Xenopus tropicalis: one gene and its partners. The protein of the gene in region 2 interacts with the protein of the main gene of each other region in a biochemical or structural test. Links are inferred from orthologs where the notes say so. Each region holds a gene or a part of one and is shown on either strand. Other genes may lie near its edges.

What was found.
Region 1: the proteins of hltf (region 2) and rad18 form a complex in vitro, tested with the Homo sapiens proteins (2 studies listed by BioGRID). The link is inferred for Xenopus tropicalis from reciprocal best matches to the Homo sapiens genes HLTF and RAD18.
Region 3: the proteins of hltf (region 2) and ube2n form a complex in vitro, tested with the Homo sapiens proteins (2 studies listed by BioGRID, with this or other methods). The link is inferred for Xenopus tropicalis from reciprocal best matches to the Homo sapiens genes HLTF and UBE2N.
Region 4: the proteins of hltf (region 2) and ube2v2 form a complex in vitro, tested with the Homo sapiens proteins (2 studies listed by BioGRID). The link is inferred for Xenopus tropicalis from reciprocal best matches to the Homo sapiens genes HLTF and UBE2V2.

What each region holds. Positions count from the first base shown.
Region 1 is NC_030680.2:131,520,229-131,524,726, reverse strand, and holds part of rad18 (E3 ubiquitin-protein ligase RAD18), read left to right. Parts: intron 1-3,473; coding exon 3,474-3,820; intron 3,821-4,498. UniProt on the Homo sapiens protein: E3 ubiquitin-protein ligase involved in postreplication repair of UV-damaged DNA. Postreplication repair functions in gap-filling of a daughter strand on replication of damaged DNA.
Region 2 is NC_030681.2:122,176,782-122,181,279, forward strand, and holds part of hltf (helicase-like transcription factor), read right to left. Parts: intron 2,872-4,498; coding exon 2,736-2,871; intron 2,229-2,735; coding exon 2,049-2,228; intron 1,397-2,048; coding exon 1,272-1,396; intron 306-1,271; coding exon 127-305; intron 1-126. UniProt on the Homo sapiens protein: Has both helicase and E3 ubiquitin ligase activities. Possesses intrinsic ATP-dependent nucleosome-remodeling activity; This activity may be required for transcriptional activation or repression of specific target promoters.
Region 3 is NC_030679.2:56,088,809-56,093,306, forward strand, and holds part of ube2n (ubiquitin-conjugating enzyme E2 N), read right to left. Parts: intron 2,776-4,498; coding exon 2,529-2,775; intron 1,328-2,528; coding exon 1,187-1,327; intron 683-1,186; coding exon 642-682; 3' UTR 1-641. UniProt on the Homo sapiens protein: The UBE2V1-UBE2N and UBE2V2-UBE2N heterodimers catalyze the synthesis of non-canonical 'Lys-63'-linked polyubiquitin chains. This type of polyubiquitination does not lead to protein degradation by the proteasome.
Region 4 is NC_030682.2:113,259,718-113,264,826, reverse strand, and holds the start of ube2v2 (ubiquitin-conjugating enzyme E2 variant 2), read right to left. Parts: upstream 3,344-5,109; 5' UTR 3,336-3,343; coding exon 3,320-3,335; intron 3,252-3,319; exon of another isoform or gene 3,070-3,251; intron 1,623-3,069; coding exon 1,474-1,622; intron 1-1,473. UniProt on the Homo sapiens protein: Has no ubiquitin ligase activity on its own. The UBE2V2/UBE2N heterodimer catalyzes the synthesis of non-canonical poly-ubiquitin chains that are linked through 'Lys-63'. This type of poly-ubiquitination does not lead to protein degradation by the proteasome.

The DNA of each region.
Region 1 (4,498 bases), on a different chromosome or scaffold from region 2:
TGAGTAGGGATCAGGGGTTATCCTAGCCTGTCACTATCTCTACTCCGTGGCCCTACACTGAGGCAACATTGCTGGATAGGAGTAATACTCCTGGATCTAATCACTCCTTTGTTGGGGCTATTAGGCTGCCCTTGCTTGCTAGACGCTATCTATCTCACTTCTCCTAGAGAATGCTATTACAAAACTGCTATGCTTACGTGAACCTCGTTCACGGGGCCCTGTCCCCGACTTCTCCAGATGGTAAAAGGGTCTCTGGACTGAAATGGCTTTACTGGGGCCTGTTGCTGCACCCAGGCTCAGAGGGAGCTGTCCTTCGGTAGCAGGCAGGCAGCCAAAGAGGAAGTCACACCCTCCTGCTGGACACTATCAGTCTGCAGGGGGCGTCTACAACCTGACTAAAAAAATAAGGGATAGCATTAGTGCAAACTAGATACAGGGGACTCTGCCCAGTAACAGTAATAGAAAGAACTAGTAGGGGATTAAAGCCATAGGAGCGCTAAATCTTATGGGTCCCTGCACACCGAATCCCGGATTCGGTTCGGGATTCGGGCCAAATCCAGGCTTTTTTTGAAGGATTCAGTTTCGTCTGAATCCTAATTAGTAAGAATTAGCATATGCTAATTAGTATTTGGAAAGGGTTAAATGGTCATGGTAAAAAAAATTTGCCGCACGTGCAGCGATCCTAATTAGCATATGTTAATTCGAATTTGGTTCAGGATTCAGCAGAATCTGCCAGGGTGGGTTCGGCCAAACCCAAAAAAAGTAGGTTTGGTGCATCCCTACTGAAAGGAAAGGATATGATCTGTAGGGTATCTGTAATTGCAGGGTTTCCTGATATAATAACTGCAGCTCAGTTCTGCATATCACACTTGTATGTCCATCTCTGTCTTGCTGCTACTGCCTTGCATTCTGGGAAATTAACATCAGCAACAGAAATAACACACACTTATACATACATATACAGTAGTGTGGAAATGCTTTGATCTGCACAAATATTTTAATTAATAAAGCTGCGATTCCGTAGAGATTCCGTACAGATTCGGTATAATTAGTAAGTTCTGTGGAGGTCAGATGTTATGGCCGACTGAAATTACATTGATCAGTCTTATCTCATAATTTAATGTCATTAGAAAGAGGACAAATTTAGATCCGATGGAAACGCCAAGTATATGCAAGTGTATTAGTATTCAGTGCCATTTGATGTCTACAGTTAGAGATGAGAAACAGAATCTTCTGTTTTTATTAGAGGTAAGGCTGCTTAATGGTATTTTTTCCAAAACCTTGTTCTGGAAAACTTTGGATTGCATATTCTGCTTTCAAAAATGTTTTCCTGAAAATGGTACTTAACCTTGTACCTCACAACAATATCTGTGCGTGTATGGCTAGCTGAAGCAAAAAGATTAGCTAGAAGATTTTATATAGACATATGGCTTTCTGCACTACTACTCCTTTACTCAATATTATGTAAAGTCATGTGAAATTAGGTCTTCTGCCACATCTTATTTGTTTGTAACACACAACTGTTCCCTCTATTACTTGACCTTGTCCTTTGAGTACCTACCTGGGAGGCCTGGCTGTTTTTATTTGATATTTTGGACTGGCTGTAGTTATCCAGAGGATGGATATGGGTTTAGTCTTGAATCATTTCAGATGGTAAAACAATTCCATAAGACTTACACCACAAAACAGGCTTTGATGTTTCCTGTTCTAAAGCAAAACAGCATATGTTAAAGGAAAACTATACCCCCAGAATAAATACCTAATAAACAGTTTATATTTTGTTAAGTGACCTATTAAAGAATTTTGCTAAACTGGAATATATATATATATATCAGTAAATTTAGCTCTTTTACATCTTTTCCCTTGAGTCGCCATTTAGGGCTGTGGTAGACGGGGAGATTAGTTGCCGTGTGACAAATCTCCCCGAAATGCCATCCCACTGACTAGAATGTAAATCTCCGGTGGGATGGCATATGCGGTGCCGAAATCGCCGAAGTTTCCTCTCAAGGCAACTTCAGCGATTTCGGCAAATCGCCGCGCCGCGTATGCCATCCCACCGGTGAGTTACATTCTAGCCGGTGGGATGGCATTTCGGGGAGATTAGTTTCCTGGGACAAGGGAGATTTGTCGCGGGTGACTAATCTCCCCGTCTGTCAAGGCCCTTAGTGATGGGCTGTGTGCTCCCTCAGAGATCACATGACCAGAAATAATGCAGCTCTGACAGGAAGTAGTGTGGGAGCAAAAGGCAGAACTCTGCCCATTAATTGGCTGATGGGGCCTAGCATGTATGTGTGCCTTGGCTTGTTTGTGTGCACTGTGAATCCTATGATCCCAGGGGGCGGCCTTAAAGTGATACCGACACGAAAAAACAACTTTTTAAATTATGAATCTACATAAAAAGTTGCCTATAGGTCGTGTTGATCATTTTTTGCTGATAGGTTTGCTTTTGTAAGAAATTGTTACTTGAAATCCCAAAACCTGACTGTTTTGCCAGCCTGACTGTCCCTTCTCAGCCAGTCAGTTACAGCTTCTAATGCTAATGGCCACCTGCTGGACAAATATGGCCGCCCCCTCATAGAGGAACATGGGGGATCAGATAGTGAATGTAAAAGCTTGGACAAATACTTTTATGGCAAAATAATAAATAGCATGCAGAGACAATATTATGACAGATGTAAAAAAGGTTTCATTTCTGGTGTCAGTATCTCTTTAATTCTTAAAATGGCAGTTTTCTATTTAGTATTACCCAATAGCACATACTACTAAAAAAGTATATTTTTATGAAAATGGTTTATTTAGATGAAGCAGGTTTTATGCAATATATTTTTTTAGAGACCTACATTGTTTGGGGTATAGTTTTCCTTTAAAGATTTGTCATTGTTATAAACATGCACCCAAATATACTGCATGCTTTATTTCTTTTTCACAAATAGGTTTTCTTATTATTATTGTTCACTATTGCTGGAATTATCCAATTAGAACAGAGGAAATTGACAGATTTACTGTCAGCAAGAGTGTGTTGGTTTCAGTTTAAAAAAAATGTTAGAAATGTATAAAAAAAAAAAATAAAAAAAAAAAAATGTAATATACAGAGAGAGAAAGGGTTCCACACACAGGGACTTAGTGCCAAAAGACAAAAGTTCTATTAAAAAAAGTCCTGTCCCTGAGAAAGGGCACTGTCTTAGCTGGTATAAAGTAAAAGATACTGTTTTGTTTGAATTATATGATTATAATGGAGCCTATAGGAGATGGCCTTCCTTTAATTTAGAACTTTCTGGACAATGGATCCCATACTTTCTGGATAATGGATCCCATATATGTATGTGTGTGTGTGTATATATATATATATATATATATATAATATACACAAAATTAATGACTAATTGTGAACTGTATTAAATATCTACTACAATGTGGGCAGGTCTCCTCTGTTTTAAATAAAATTACAACTCTTTTTTTCTTGTATGTTTTAGGCAGCATCTTTCAAAGGTTGTCTTGGATTCACCTCCCATGTCGCCACAAAGTAACCCCTCCACCAGCAAGATTGCAAAAATGCAGGGATGCACTGGTAAACAAGTAAAGCAAGAGAACATAATAATGAATAGATTTCTGGTAAAAGGCAACTGTTCAACACCCCGAACTCATTCAAACACTTTACAAGATGAAACCTTTTTAAGCCAGGATTCTTCATATACCTCTGCTAATACCTCCAATATTGATTTAGCCGGAGAAGCAGGTTCTGTAATGACAGAGACGTTTGGTACATTTTCACCCTCCACATCTGCTCTAGCTGCACCCTCTTCTGCATCAAAAGTTAGAGGTAAGCCTCTAGTGTCCGAACTATTTGCCATATTTTTTATATTTTTATATATAATGCAACTATATTGGATTTTTATATATAATTAAACTGTATTGGATCTGGAATTAATCTGTTTTTACAAATAGTCTTAATTTTTTTTTTTTTTGCTTACAGTTGTTTATGTATTTAATTATATATTTTATATTTCTTTAGTGTAACATTTCTTTTCTGTCTGCACATAACGCGCTTATGCTGTGAGTTTTTGACACATTTCACCTGCTCTAATTGGCCGATTCCAACGTGAGCCAGTCATTTTCAGTGCACAACTGACACACAACATGGTTAGGTTTTTTAAAGCAGGAAATGACAGACGAGGAGATTAGTCCCTGCAACAAATCTCTTTTACTGGGGAGACTAATCTCACAATGCCTTCCCACTGGCGATAACGTAAATTGTCAGTGGGAAGGCATTGGTAGGAGATTAGTTGCCCGCAATAGAGGAGATTTGTTACAGGCGACTAATTTCCTCTTCTGTCATTTCCCTTATACTGTTCCCTGTAGAAGAAAAGTGATATGTATTGTAATTTGCAGGGATTTAGAAGATAAGAACCTTTGAACTGTAATGCTATACAGTTTACTAGTTCCATAAGGATCTGAAAAAACTTTACACATTTCAGTTGCTAAATTGGCAAATAACCCA
Region 2 (4,498 bases):
TGCAAATGGTTGCTTTTAACCACTTAAAGCTTATAACAAATAAAACAATTGCCATAGAACGAAGAATTGCGGCTCTTAGTTGACTCCCAACACCTAGTTAAACATCCGTGGTCACATATCACTAACCTTTTCATGCTGGATAACCTGACAGATACAAGGTTTGCAGAATACATGAGCACAGTAAGTAATAACTGGCATGTTTAAAGAATCCAAACATATGGCGCATTCCTCATCTGAGCCGGAGCTCAAAACCAGCTTTATCTTCTGAACGAGCTTCTCACGCACATCTCCTGGAGTGGAGTCAGCTGGGGATTTGCAAGGAAACACATGACAATGTGATGCCTTGGGTACAAAGCAAAAGCAATGCAGCAACACATCACAGTTATTCTGTAGGAGTAACTCTGCACTGCAATTCTTATAGAAGAATGCTTAGAATAATCATAAGAATCATCTGGAACCCTATAATGTAACTATTTCAGGTTGCTACAAGCTGTCATTGTACTTTAGCTCTGTTAAACTAATGATGACATATAAGTTACACTTTGGCTAGGGGCACTCAGGCATAGTATTGGCAGTGGAACACCAAAACTTGGGGCCACGTACCCAGCATATAAGAGTAGGCTGAATACGGAGTAATTAGCAAATTCCAATTTTATCAGTATCAAATCATCTGTGTAAATACATGATTGCGTTCAGTTGTCCAGAGCTTTAAGTCATAGGACATTTAGGGCTCTGGTACACGGGGAGATTAGACGCCTGCAACAAGGGAGATTTGCCGCGGACGACTAAGAGCCCTAAAGCTAATGCCACACAGGGGGTAGATCCTCAGCCTGCAGATAAGAACACAACACTGCATTCGCAAGCAGTTGTGCGCTGAATTCTACTTATTGTGCCTGCGACCAGGCTGAAGCAATGGCTCCATGTGAAGGCACAACAATCAGATTTTTGAAACAATCAGATTCTTGATTTTGTTCAGTTGAGTACTAAGAATTAGACTGAATACAAATCATCCCTAAAGTACTGCTGTTCAGGTCAATTTAGCACATACCTAATTTTCTGTAATGTCCCATGTCCTGACCAATATCAATAAGACTTCACCCGGCAAGATTTACGGGAAATTCCAAGTCCCTTTGGCATTATTTGCTGCAGGAAAGGGGCCATACTAGCCATAGTTTGTAAGGAAGGTAGAAACTGCACAACCTTGGCTCCTAACATGCTCGTAGTCCAGAATACTTCCTAAAACCCAAAACTTACTGTTCTGCTACACTCACCAGTAGTAGTAATGGAAGATAAAGCACTTGACACAAGAAAGGGGTGGCAGCAAAGCTGTCTCAGTCTCACCAGCACAGCTAAAACATCTGCATAATGTGAGAGTATGGTTCCTTCACTGACATACCTAAAGAATACAATAAATGTGTAATACATAGTAACCATAGGACAATTCCTTCCTGACTTTAAAATGGCAACTGTTTTGGTCATTCTACTTACAGGCTTTAGAAATTAATTTAGAAAAAATATTCCAACTGCCCTGTTAATGGCAAATGAACTGAATGCACTGGAGAAAGCCTTTTAGCAAAATATGACACAAAAGATTTATTGACTTTAGCAGTGTATTTGCTCCATTTGCACTTTGCAGGCTTTCCTAGGTGCCTTTCTGAGCTCTATCTAAAGTTTCCCCCTGCAATAATCTCTCCATCATTCATGGGTGGAAGTGATGTCTCCAGACAGAAGACGCAGATCAGTGCAAAGGAAGCTTTCAGCAATAAATAAAAACAAACAGCTTTTAACTATTTATGGTGCCTGGATTTGGCGGACCATACTGACAAGGTATTGTTTCAAGGTGTGGTGCACTGGGTTTAGTTCTCCTTTAAACAAAATATTTAGGGCGATTAGAAAACTTAGTATAAACAAAGTATATGAAAAGTTACCCCTATCTTTTAAATGTGTGGCAGAGTAACAAGCAATATACCAATATATGATCCTGAGTTTAAAGACAAGAACCTATCCACCACCCACAAAAATGGTAGGCACAACATAGGAAGTCTTACCTGCTAATAACAGCCTTGCCTTCGTTCTTCAGAGACTCATAGATTTGCCTTTCTTCCTCTGAAAGCTCCACATGCTGGATGAACACTTTGCGCTCTGGCAGATCCAGTACAGGCCTACCTCTGATTTTACTGGTTTTGGTTCTCCTCAGAGTTATATTTTTAATTAAAGCTTGCAATCGGCTTAAAAAGAATAAACTTTGGTCAGAGGTTGGGCAGAAGTGTCATATAAAATCACTGATGGTAACAGGCACCAGATGCAGAGAATTGCAATTATCAGGCCCATCTTTCCTAGGAGTAGAGCACCATTTGCTTTTTAATATTGGCAAGGGAGTAGTTGTGCAACATAACATGGCCTCTAGGTAAAAGGTGCAAGTGTTATAATGCTTCCCCTCTCCTGAAATGAGCCAGCAATCAAAGAAGAGAAGTTTAATTTTGCACTGGGGTAACACCATACTGATACATTTAGAGCCTGCACGGAGAAACCATGGAATGTCAAGATTCTTGCTATTTACCAAAGTAATGGGTGCAATAATGCACTGGAACAAATGCTCTGAATACATATTATAAGACTTTATATTTGCAAATGGGTAAGGGCTAATACACTGTGGAGGCAAACATCTTAATAATACCACTTTGCCTTCCCCAACTAACTAATGGTAATTATATTGCAAAAATTAGTTGTCCTACCAAAGTCCACCGTCTTCTCCAGTGGTAACAGGTCGCTGGATTGTCCGGTGCCACCACTCTCTATCGGTGAAAGGTTTTAGTTTTAAGAAACATATTAGAGACCACAAGTCCTTCAAAGAGTTCTGAATAGGAGTGCCTGTTTATTAAAATAAAAATGCATTATGCCTATTGGCAATGTTATTTAATATAAGAAATCAAAGAAGCTATTCTGTGCAAAATGACAGAAGATATGCATACCTTTGTGTAACATTCTCTTCTATTTATACCTGTAGCATTACACAGCTAGCTAACAACCATGAATATTCTCTGTGAACAAATTTCACTGTCAATGGTAAAATATAGTATCAGTGCTCCATACATTCAGAATGAGAGTTTCCATTTACTGCTCAAAGCAGTCATCTTATTTTTTTATGAAAGACAGTTACTTTGCCAGCAAGCTAAGCCTGACTCCCTGTAGCTTACATAGTAATTGCCCAAAAGGGCAATGGTCAAAATGTCCCAGAAATGTTTCTATTGGAACAAGAGAGGGTGGCGTCTGCTGTTAAAGGAACAGTAACACTAAAAAATAAAAATGTTTTAAAATAATTAAAATATAATGTACTTTTGCCCTGCACTGGTAAAAGTTGCATGTTAGCTTCAGAAAGTCTACTATAGTTAATAGAAATAGCTGCTGTGTAGCCATGGGGGCAGCCATTTAAATTGAAAAAAGGAGAAAAGGCACAGGTTACATAAGAAGATACCAGATAAACTGTGGAATCTGCTACTTATCTGTTATCTGCTTAGTAACCTGTGCCTTTTCTCCTTTTTTCAATTTAAATGGCTGCCCCCATGGCTACACAGCAAGGTATTTATATAAACTGCAGTAGTGTTTATGAAGAAAACACACAACTTTTACCAGTGCAGAGAAATAGTATATAATATATTAATTATTTTAATACACGTTCATTTTTTGGTGTTACTGTTCCTTTAAGATGTACCAGGACAAAACACTGAAGAAGGGGTTGAAAATATAATCTAGCACACGCACCCTAGGCTGTATATGCCTGACTGCACAGGCTAGGGGGAAAAACCTACTGAATAGCCCTATGGTGCAGCCCTGCCTTAAGGTGGCGAGGTCGCCAAGCGAGCAGATTGTCTCCCAATAACAGGTGGACAATATTGGGCTAATTGCTGAGGTTGCCAAGTGAGCGGATCGTCTCCTAATAATGGGTGGACGATATTGGGCTAATTCGTTCGTTTGGCCCTAGGGCAGGCATAGGCGCCGCCGGTTCGAGGACCACATCAACAAGCCCATATGGTCCCTGATCCGTAATGAAATAGCGGGCATAGGCATACATCTGGGAAACACATCAACAAGCCAATGTGGTCCCTGATCAGAGGGAAAAATTAAATCTGCCCGATCGGGATCTGCCCCATTTCAGGCCAGATGTCGGTTGGGGAGGCCAATAGATTAGCTGCCGTTATCGGTCTAAAGGACCGATATCAGCAGCTGAAATTGGCCGGTGTACCTTTGCAGTCAGGGTAACATGAGCAAGGTGAGACTGGAACAGTTAGAAAATGGAATGTTGCACCAATATTAGTCCCCCAACTCTCTGCAGCTTCTAAATAGTACTGATCATGTCACAGAACATGTCTTCAAAAGCACAAATTGACTGATAATCTAATGTAAATAAAACTGTTCCAGCTGGAACACAATTTGCCAGTTGTCAGTCAAGGATTAAACATACACCGCAGGTGCAAATGCACAATCACTCAATAAAATA
Region 3 (4,498 bases), on a different chromosome or scaffold from region 2:
AGAAATTTGATGAATGTAAATATACAGTGTATAAAACAAAAAATGTTATGATATAAGCATTCTCTGCTTCATGGATGGATTTTTAGAATCATCTCTAATTCTCTGTTTAATAAATCGTTCCTACAGGGGAAGGGAGGATGGGGTGCAAGTACATGTTACTTTGAATACAGATTTGACCAATGCAAAAACAAAAGTGCATCTAAAAAGAAAGGGAGGGGCAATGACACATTGTTTTAAAGTTAACAGAGCCAAACAAATAGTTGTTTTATCTTAAAAATTAAAAAAAAAAACCCAACTGTTTCAGCAACTAACCTAACTCTACCTTCATTCACAGTGCTCATACTCAAATCATGATGGGTATAATGGACATCAAGAACTTTTGCCACCCCTTTGAACATTGTGGAACATGCTGACACGATGGATTACAGCCTCTGCGCATGCGATACAACAGTGAATTAGAACAAGACATATTATTTGCTAATGTGCATTTAATCACCAAAGATGACCATGTCTGGGCTTTTTATTCCATATATTTTATTAAGACTGTGTCCATTAAACACAAACAAAAACAAAACAAAAATAAAGGGAAGAGGTCTTGGCAGAACAGGAGAAATGATGTGCACTTGAAGATCAAGCCGAATTTAAATATTATTCATAGCATGTAGCCTAGTCCATGCTCTGGCTGCAAGGGAAGAGAGAGCACAATGAGAACAACATAGTACCTGCCTATACAGACAATGTTATGCATTTACCTGCAGAGATATTCAGCAAATTTCTCCTTTTTACCAGTCCTTCACGTTCATGCATACAATGCAATACACTGAGCGCACACACTGTATTATATTACATACACAAACACACTATAAAATGGTCAGAAAATTCCAGAATCTCATTCCAGAATGTTTTCTTTAAATCTGTCTAAGAGAAAACAAGATCACTAAAGACAATTGCACCATTAGAGACTGAAAATGCTCAAATTCGTGTTTTTTCTGACACTGTTTGGTTGCAATCTACTGGTCACAACAAAGCTATAGCTAAATAAAAAACATAAAATGACAAAGCACAGAGGGGATTCATTTTCACCCCAAAGCTGTATTTTGGTAATTTCAATCAGTATTGTGCAAGAATGTAAAAAATACAGAATAATATTAAAAAAATAAAAATTAAAATCTTCGCTTTTCAATACCTGTTTCTATGGCTTGGGCTTCATTTGTCTTCCACTGCTCAGCTACATCATTGGCTAATGGGTCATCTGGGTTGGGAGCACTTAACAAAGCCTGAATTGATAGGAGCACGGTACGGATTTGCAGAGCTGGTGACCATTTATCTATACATGAAGAAAGAGAAAATAAGACCCTACTCTTTGCCTTTAAATTCAAACATTCATTTCATGTTCACATGATCATGTGTTATTTATTATGAGTACAAATTATATGGTACCTTACTATGAGTAAATATGCAATTAAATAGTATGCACTCAATAGTAAGAAATCCAAGTCTGGCTTGGGACTACATGGGAGTAGGAGAAACAATAGGTTGCCTGGAAACAGTTCTAATGTGTAGCGCTGGCTCTTTCTGAAAGTTCAGCCACTGAGATGGCTGCCTACACAGCAATATTACAACTAAAAAAATAAATGTTGGTTCAAGAAAATTTTTTTAAATGGTAGAGTGAATTATTTTCTGTTTAAACAGTGTAATTTAGAAATAAAAAGTACACCATAAAAAATCATGGCAGTATCCCTTTAAAGAACATAGTAAAGCCCAAAACCACAGTTTTTACACAAAGTAAAACACGTCTATTACCATTATATTGACAGGTGTCAGCAAACAATGTGTTCGGCAAACAAAAGGAAAAATCCCAAGAAAAAGGCATACTGAGCAACATCCCAGATAGGTTTTTTTTTATCTTAATTAACATAAATTCATGACTTTAATTTATAATAATAAAAAAAAAAAAACTTGCAAGGAATGTTTAACCATTTATGGTTTTAACAAAGTAGTATTAAAATACCAATGCAATAGATATACATTTCTGGGTTACATTGTAATCTAAGGGGAAAACAACATGTTGCCTAGCAACAAGTCTAAACAAGTTCTTACTGCTACTGGCACTTAAAGAAATAAGACTAACACCATGTGGTGTATTCTCTATGCACATACGGCAGATGCCATGTCTGTCAATGATAACTGAACAAGATGGATTAAACCTAATTGGCATTTACTCCACTGGCATTTCTGATGCATATATTAGCATACACCTGTATGCAGTTACCAACTGGAATGGAACACATTAGAACACTGTAACATGCTAGTGCAATAGTTACACAATGTCAGTGTGTATAAAAAAAAAAATAACTGAACTCCACAATGCAACAGTTCAGAAGGTAGCACAACTTATTTTTGTTGGCTCTTAAAATGATTTAATAGTCAGCACTTAAAGGCACGCTGTATACAGTGATGCCTAAGTCATTTTTAAAAAAAGAATCTGAAAAATAATAGCGTCCTTTTAAATAAGAGGAAAAACTTACCTTTCAAAATATCTAGACATATTCTTCCCAACTTGTCTACATTAGGGTGATAGATTTTGGTCATGAAACGTACTTTAGGCGCTGCCATTGGGTATTCTTCCGGAAGAAATAATTCAAGTTTAAATGTCCCTCCCTCAAAGGGGGAATCCTGTGGACCAGCGATAAGCACATGGAAATAGCGAGCATTGTTTTCATCTGGCTCAGCCTTAATTCCGGGGACTGGCTCTGCCAGTAAACGCTGGGTTTCCTGCAATGAAAACACCAGGACAAATGTAAAATGTGTAGTGACTGAGGAGATAATACACATATATTATATAAATGAAGAACAGAGTTCCGCACACACAGGGAGTTTAAAAAAAGAACAAAAAATCTTTATTAATCCAACGTTTCCAACACTAATTGTGTTCCTCTTTAGGGATATGTATAGATATAGATATATAAATGCCAATACATGTGTAGTAAACTTATGTTAAAAAAATTAAAGGTACTTTTATGACTATCATCTCTAAAACCCACAACAATATTTAAACATTAGGAACCAAACTAAACACACTTTTATTACATTTTATCTAGCACTTCTGCTTTGCAGCGTTGGGGTCCTGAGTTCAATCCTGGCCTGGAGTCTGTATGTTCTCCCCATGTCTGCATGGGTTTCCTCCAGGTACACCAGTTTCCTCCCACACTCCATAAATATAAACAGAGTGTGTGTGAATGAGCTAGGGACCTTAGATTGTAAGCTCCCCTGGGGCAGGAATGATGAATAATCTCTGAAAAGTGCTGTGGAAATCAGTCAGTGCTATATAAATAACAGGAAATTAATATATATATTTAAAAGCACAGTAAAAAAAATTCTAAGCCTTCCAGTGCTAAATATAAGGATATCAGTAATTGCCAAAAGTCCTTTTTTGACTAATGCCTAGAGGAAAAAAAAGAAAAAAACCAGCCATCTCAATCTGGCACTGGTCACCACTTTATGTATGTCCAGTAGGGTGCTTTTTATTTTTTTTATTCACTTGTACTAGGAGTAATGAGAGTGGCAGACCAAATGCCACTGTTTTCCACCAGATGGCAGTTGTGGACATAATTCAGACCCTGGGATGGCACTCCTCAGCACTGATAAACCACACCAGCCCAGGCTACTATTTCACCTGCCCCAGGCATCCTTTGTGGCTTGTCTGTATGCTGGTGCTAGAGTGACAGATCAGAATTTGAACCTGGAAGCTGAACTCTATCCCTACTGCACATGCCCAGGGCTGCAGCAAAATATTTCCTGTATAGGGAAAGATGATGGTGGTGCTCACTAGAACAGCACCCAGGCTGGCCAGGGTCTAAGGTCAACAATCAAACACCCCTTTCATTTATAAGCTTAGCAATAAGGATGCAAGTTTCTAGTATTATAAGCTTAGTAATAGGGATCGCACCAAATCCATTGAGACTAGGCTAAATGCCACATTCTCCCCCATGTTTGGTTGATCGCTAAATCAAGTTCAAACCCTAATTTGCACAGTCGAAGAGGATAAAAATCCAAATAAAACTAAGTAAGATATTGCCACTTTCAGCAGGCCAGAGCTTTAAAGTCACCATCAGTTGTGGGTTTGCCCTTGGGTGCACTAAACCAGGGGTCCTCAACCTTTCTTACTCGTGAGCCAAAGTCAAATGTAAAAAGACTTGGGGAACAACACAAGCATCATAAAAGATCATGGGGGTGTCAAATAAGGGCTAAGATTAGCTATTAGGTAGCCTCTATGCACACCATCAGTTTACAGGAGGGTTTGTTTGGTGGTACATCAAGGGGCCCATTTATCAAAGTCCGAATTTCAGACTTTTAAAAGTACGTTTAGGAAAAATTTGTATCAAGTATGAAAATTTCTCATGTGCGTTAATTGCGCAAAAACTCGCATTGTGGTCGTACAAAAATTTTGTGGTACGATCCGAAAGTTCACAAATTTTCGTATCTGAATGATCGTAAA
Region 4 (5,109 bases), on a different chromosome or scaffold from region 2:
TTCTTTTTCCTGTAATTATAGAACAGTACCTTGTACTTGATCCCAACTAAGATAAAATCAATCCTTATTGAAGGCAAAACAATCCTATTGGGTTTATTCAATATGTAAATTATTTTTTCGCATTCTGGATAATAGGTCCCATAACTGTATATGGTTTAATGTTGATCATAATGTAGCTAAAAGAGCTTGATCTGTTAGAGGACATGTAAAGCTCACTTTTTCACTGGGGAGGGTGGGGGTGCCAATATTTTAGACACCCCCAGTGAAATAAATTGCTGGAAAAACTGCACCAACCCATGGAAAAGAATATCTAAGCTGGCATTTTAGATACCCTTGTGCAGATTTTTGTTTGTACATGAGCAGTAGAGTAGCCAAAAGTGTAATGGTCAACAATGCCTGTTCAACACTTTGTTTTTCCACGGGCCAGTTCTGGTTTCTCTGAAAAGGAACACCAGCCCCAGGAAAAACATGCAAATTCCGTTCCATTGGAGACGCCAGAATGTCATATCACTTAATAAGTTAACATGCAGAATACAAATTAAAGTACAGGTATGTAAATTTGGGACAGTATTTGACTATTCAAAAATGAGACTGCATCCTTCTGAATACTGAATGGAAACAGGAGCATGTTGTAGTACTCCAACCAGTACCAAGCAAATATTTAAACAATAATAACATGCTGTGTCACACATGAAACTGTAATGCAGCATAGAAACACCTGTAAAATATATCAGTGTTTTATGCACATACTTGATCCAGATGATATATCTAAATTATCCATGATTTGTTCTACTCGCCAACAAACCTTTGCATTAATTCACGTTTCCTAAAAACCACCAACACTACGTCAATCACATTGTCATGCACATTGGCACACATAACATGATGTAATAACGACAAACTGCACTGTATGTTTATATTAGTAATAACTTGCACAAAGACTTCTGTAATGAATGCAAGGACCGGAACAAAGGGTTTTAAATAGTGAGATTGCTGAAATACTGTAAAAATGGCATACGATTTAGGAAGGAAATCTTGCAAAAATTCAGCAACCATCCTAAAAAACACTGCATATTTATGACACATCATTGACTATCATTTGTTCTGGCGTATCAGCTCCTAAAAGTGAAATCACACATGCTAGTGTCTCTTGCCAAATATCAGCATGTAATGTGTGTTTTTTACAACAAGTATATTACTGTGTTTTCTATAGTAATGCTTATTTCATTTTTTTATGCCATGTAGGGACTTTCTAAAACCATGGCATAAAAATGCGGTGTAAAAATGGCACGTGACATAGGTGACCAGCACTATGGAACCGATGCTTAGAGGTATTTGTCAATACTATCAAGCTAGTATATATTTTCATATACAGGTTCCAACACAAACATGTTATGTTCAAAGAATTGTTTTATCCAGAAAAAGTTGCAAACAAGATTGCCTGCTACAAGACACGCAGTTTACAGAACGCACCCTAGGGGGTCCAATTATCATTCCTGTCCACCTAGTGAGTGTCATATCTTCATCATCTTCAAGGCCCCAGCTGACAGTGCCATCTCCCACACCTTTCTGCCCTTCTTCAAGTTCTTCCAGTAATCGGAAGTTACGAGGCATCTTAACACCTGTTAGGACGCAATAATATGTATTGAAAAGTGGTAAAGCATAAAGACACTGCTTCTCAAAATATTTTAAAATTTTACATATTTGTATTTCAAATACAGATTTCACATTTAAATTTAGGAACTTCCAACCAATAAATGCAAATATATTGATAGGTTCAACAACAACTGTTCTGCTTGTAATCCACAGGTCCACCCCCCAGCTTGGCATGAGCCAGTTCCTGAGATGCCCATGGATGATCACCAGACAGTCACTCAAGAGGCCTACCCAACTCAGACCAACCTCCTGCAGAGGCCCTGAATACATAGGTGTCTACTGCACCACTTCTCTCTTGACCAAGTATCTACAGAAGAAACACAACTTCCATAGCAAATTATGAGAATAAGTGGTACAATAATCTTATGATTAATTTCTAAACTTAAATCTATCAAAGTAGGGGAAGTGACAGCTACTCCTTGAAAACAAGATGATTAGAGTACTATATAACAAAACAGAAAGTGAAAGGTGCAACAGAGCTGGAAAATGTATGACTATCAGGCCAGGAAATGTGTCAGCCAACTGTAGCAGAGTGAGTGAGACAGACAGGTTTCAGGGCCAAATTTAATGGAAAAGGAAGGCTTGGGATTTTTTCATTAGCAAACAACATGCAGAGCATAGAAAAAATTAAAACACTATAGGCAGAAGGTAGATCAGGTTTGTAAGATGGCTGGATAGTGGATTTCTGATGGGCATGTGATACTAGGCTGGGAAGAACACTTCAGTAACAGAGAATCAAGGTGTGTAAGATGCTTCAGGGCACACTACACCCAGAAAATGCAAATACATATATATATATTCAGCAGCAGCAGAACACAACTTATTAGTTCCAGAAAGCTGAACAAAAGTGGGATAGTAGAGAGATGCAGAACAAAATATATGTAGGCTGCATGGCAACAGGAGGACTGGATCCTGTAGAGCAAAGATGTTTAGGGCCATTGCAAAATATGTGCAGGAAGGGGTGCAGCAAACGAAGGAAGGGCAACTGGATGGTGCAGGGGACAGAACAAAGCTGGACATGGCAGTGTTTTATGGTTGGACAGCACAAGCCATGCCACATTCAGAGTTGGTTACTAAGCAGATCATGCTATCTGTAAGGGGCAGCCATGCAGGCCATACCACTTGCTGACATATGGGGGGGGGGGGAATATGCAAAAGGCCACATCATCAGCAGGGTGGGCACTGCATGTGGCCCAATATGGGGGCAGGGTGGGCAGTTAGATGGAGCAGCTAGATGGAGCAGCTAGATAGACTGCAGAAGCACACAGGAAGGCAGAAAGGACACATTGCTAGAGACATGTGAAATCATTTCGGCTCTGCTATAGATCAAAAAAGTAGGGAAAGTAAAAGTGACACATTGAATGGAACAAATTGTAAGGGATAAGTAGATCCTACAGAGAAGGGGTCAGATACCCAGAAGGGATGCTGGGAGCAACAGTCCATGTAAAGGGTTAAGACCCCTGACTGCCAAATTCCTATTCACTCAACCGGGGGGAAACTGAAGGATGGGCAGGCAATGAGAACCCCCGAAAAGCAAGAGTTTTCTTTTGTCATCTTATCCCTGAAACCATACGGCGAGAGTGCGCCTCACACACAACTTCAATCCCTGCCCCTCCAAACCCCAACATCGGCTTTTATGCTCCCCGGCCCAGCATACACAGACCTGCGCACACCGCCATCTTCTCCGCCGCCCAGGACCGGAGCCCACGCACCATGAGACGTCAGCGCGTAGAGAGGCAGAACGGGCGCCAGCCGCAAACCCACACGTCACTTCCGCTGCTAATCTTGCCTCCCATTCATTCGGATCAAGTGGGAAACGCTGATTGGCTGCCGGGTTCGCGCTTTTACACATTTAATAAGTAGAAGGGAAAGGGAGCATGTGGAGGGGAATTAGCTCAAATGGTAGAGCGCTCGCTTAGCATGCGAGAGGTAGCGGGATCGATGCCCGCATTCTCCAAACTATTGTTTATGTTTTTACACGATTTGTAACATTGGCATCAAGCAACATTTTTCCTGTGGCAGCACTATGCCTTTAGCAATTGAAGGTGTTTGGAAACTGGTTTGGCTATACTGCTAAATATTGTTAAATATTCACATTAACTTTTAGTTCCTTATAAAATATCCTATTCCTAGCAACTGTTTCAGTTGGTCTTCATTATTTATTTTTCATAGGTTTTTAATTATTTGCATTCCTATTTTTTCAGTTTTCAAATGGGGGCCACTGACCTCGGAAGCCAGACATATTTTAGTCTCTGGGGCCACAATCTTATTGTTTTTGTTTTTATTACTTATCTTGCTGTTTAGACCCTCTCCTGTTTGTCTTTTAGTCTCTCATTCAAGCCACTGGCTGGTTCCTGGGGTAAATATCACTGCTGCTGAAATCCCAAACTGGACACCACATGGAAATTGTTTCAGAACATCAATGTTTACATTATACTAAAAGTTCATTTAAAGGCCAACTAGCCCTTTATGTTCTGCACCCATGCCCCAACCCTGGGTAAGAGATTCTGTTTTCCACACATATATCAAAAATGAAGCCTCAGTGAACCTCTATTTTTTGTGGGTTTGTTGCACTCACTGTTACTCCTATCCTGAAAAAGTTGTATTAAAAGAAGTTCTGTTGAGCTTGTTTACAAGCAGTGACTTGGAAGTAAAAGTATGATTAAAGAGATACTGACACCATCTAACACTTGCCAGCCTCTGATAACCCACAGCAGACCACTTTAACAAATATAAACATAAATACTGACTCCTCCATGCAAGAATCGACAACACAATTTGTTTTTTTTTTTGGGTGGGAGGGTCAGATGCGGACCATACCCCCTCACCAGCACAGAACAGAAAGACCAGCCTGCACTGCTGGTACACTTTTTAACCCCTCAGGTGTCATGCCTCCCATGCTCCACCAATGGCTGGCCCGCATCGCTACCTTCAGGCCCGGATTTGTGGAAAGGCCACAAAGGCCCGGGTCTAGGGCAGCAGAAGTTTAGGGGCGGCAACAAAATTTTTACATTTGGCTTCCATACGGAGCAGTCGGGACCTCTTTAAAGGTTTGCGCATGCCCACTCGCACCTGCGCACGGGGGTGTGTCGCGCGTTCGCGCATGCGCACAGGGGGCGGGCGGGGCGACCAACGGGGGTGGCCTCAGGGCGCCCTGAAGATAAATCCGGCCCTGGCTACCTTGGAGCCCACCAACCCCATATCTTCACCGGGGTATTCATTCCCAGCTCCCTGAAAATCAGGGACCACATGCTGCAGCTATTAATGCCACCAGCTAGAAAATTAACTTTAAGACAGAACAGTCTTAATGTTTCCAGAACTGTGAACTTTAACCCTTTAAGTGCCAAGGGACGTAGATTCTACGTCCCAGGTACCAAGGGACCAAAGTGCCATGGGACGTAGAATCTACGTCCAATGGCACTGTCGGGTTTACAAGCGCTGCGCTTGCTTTTA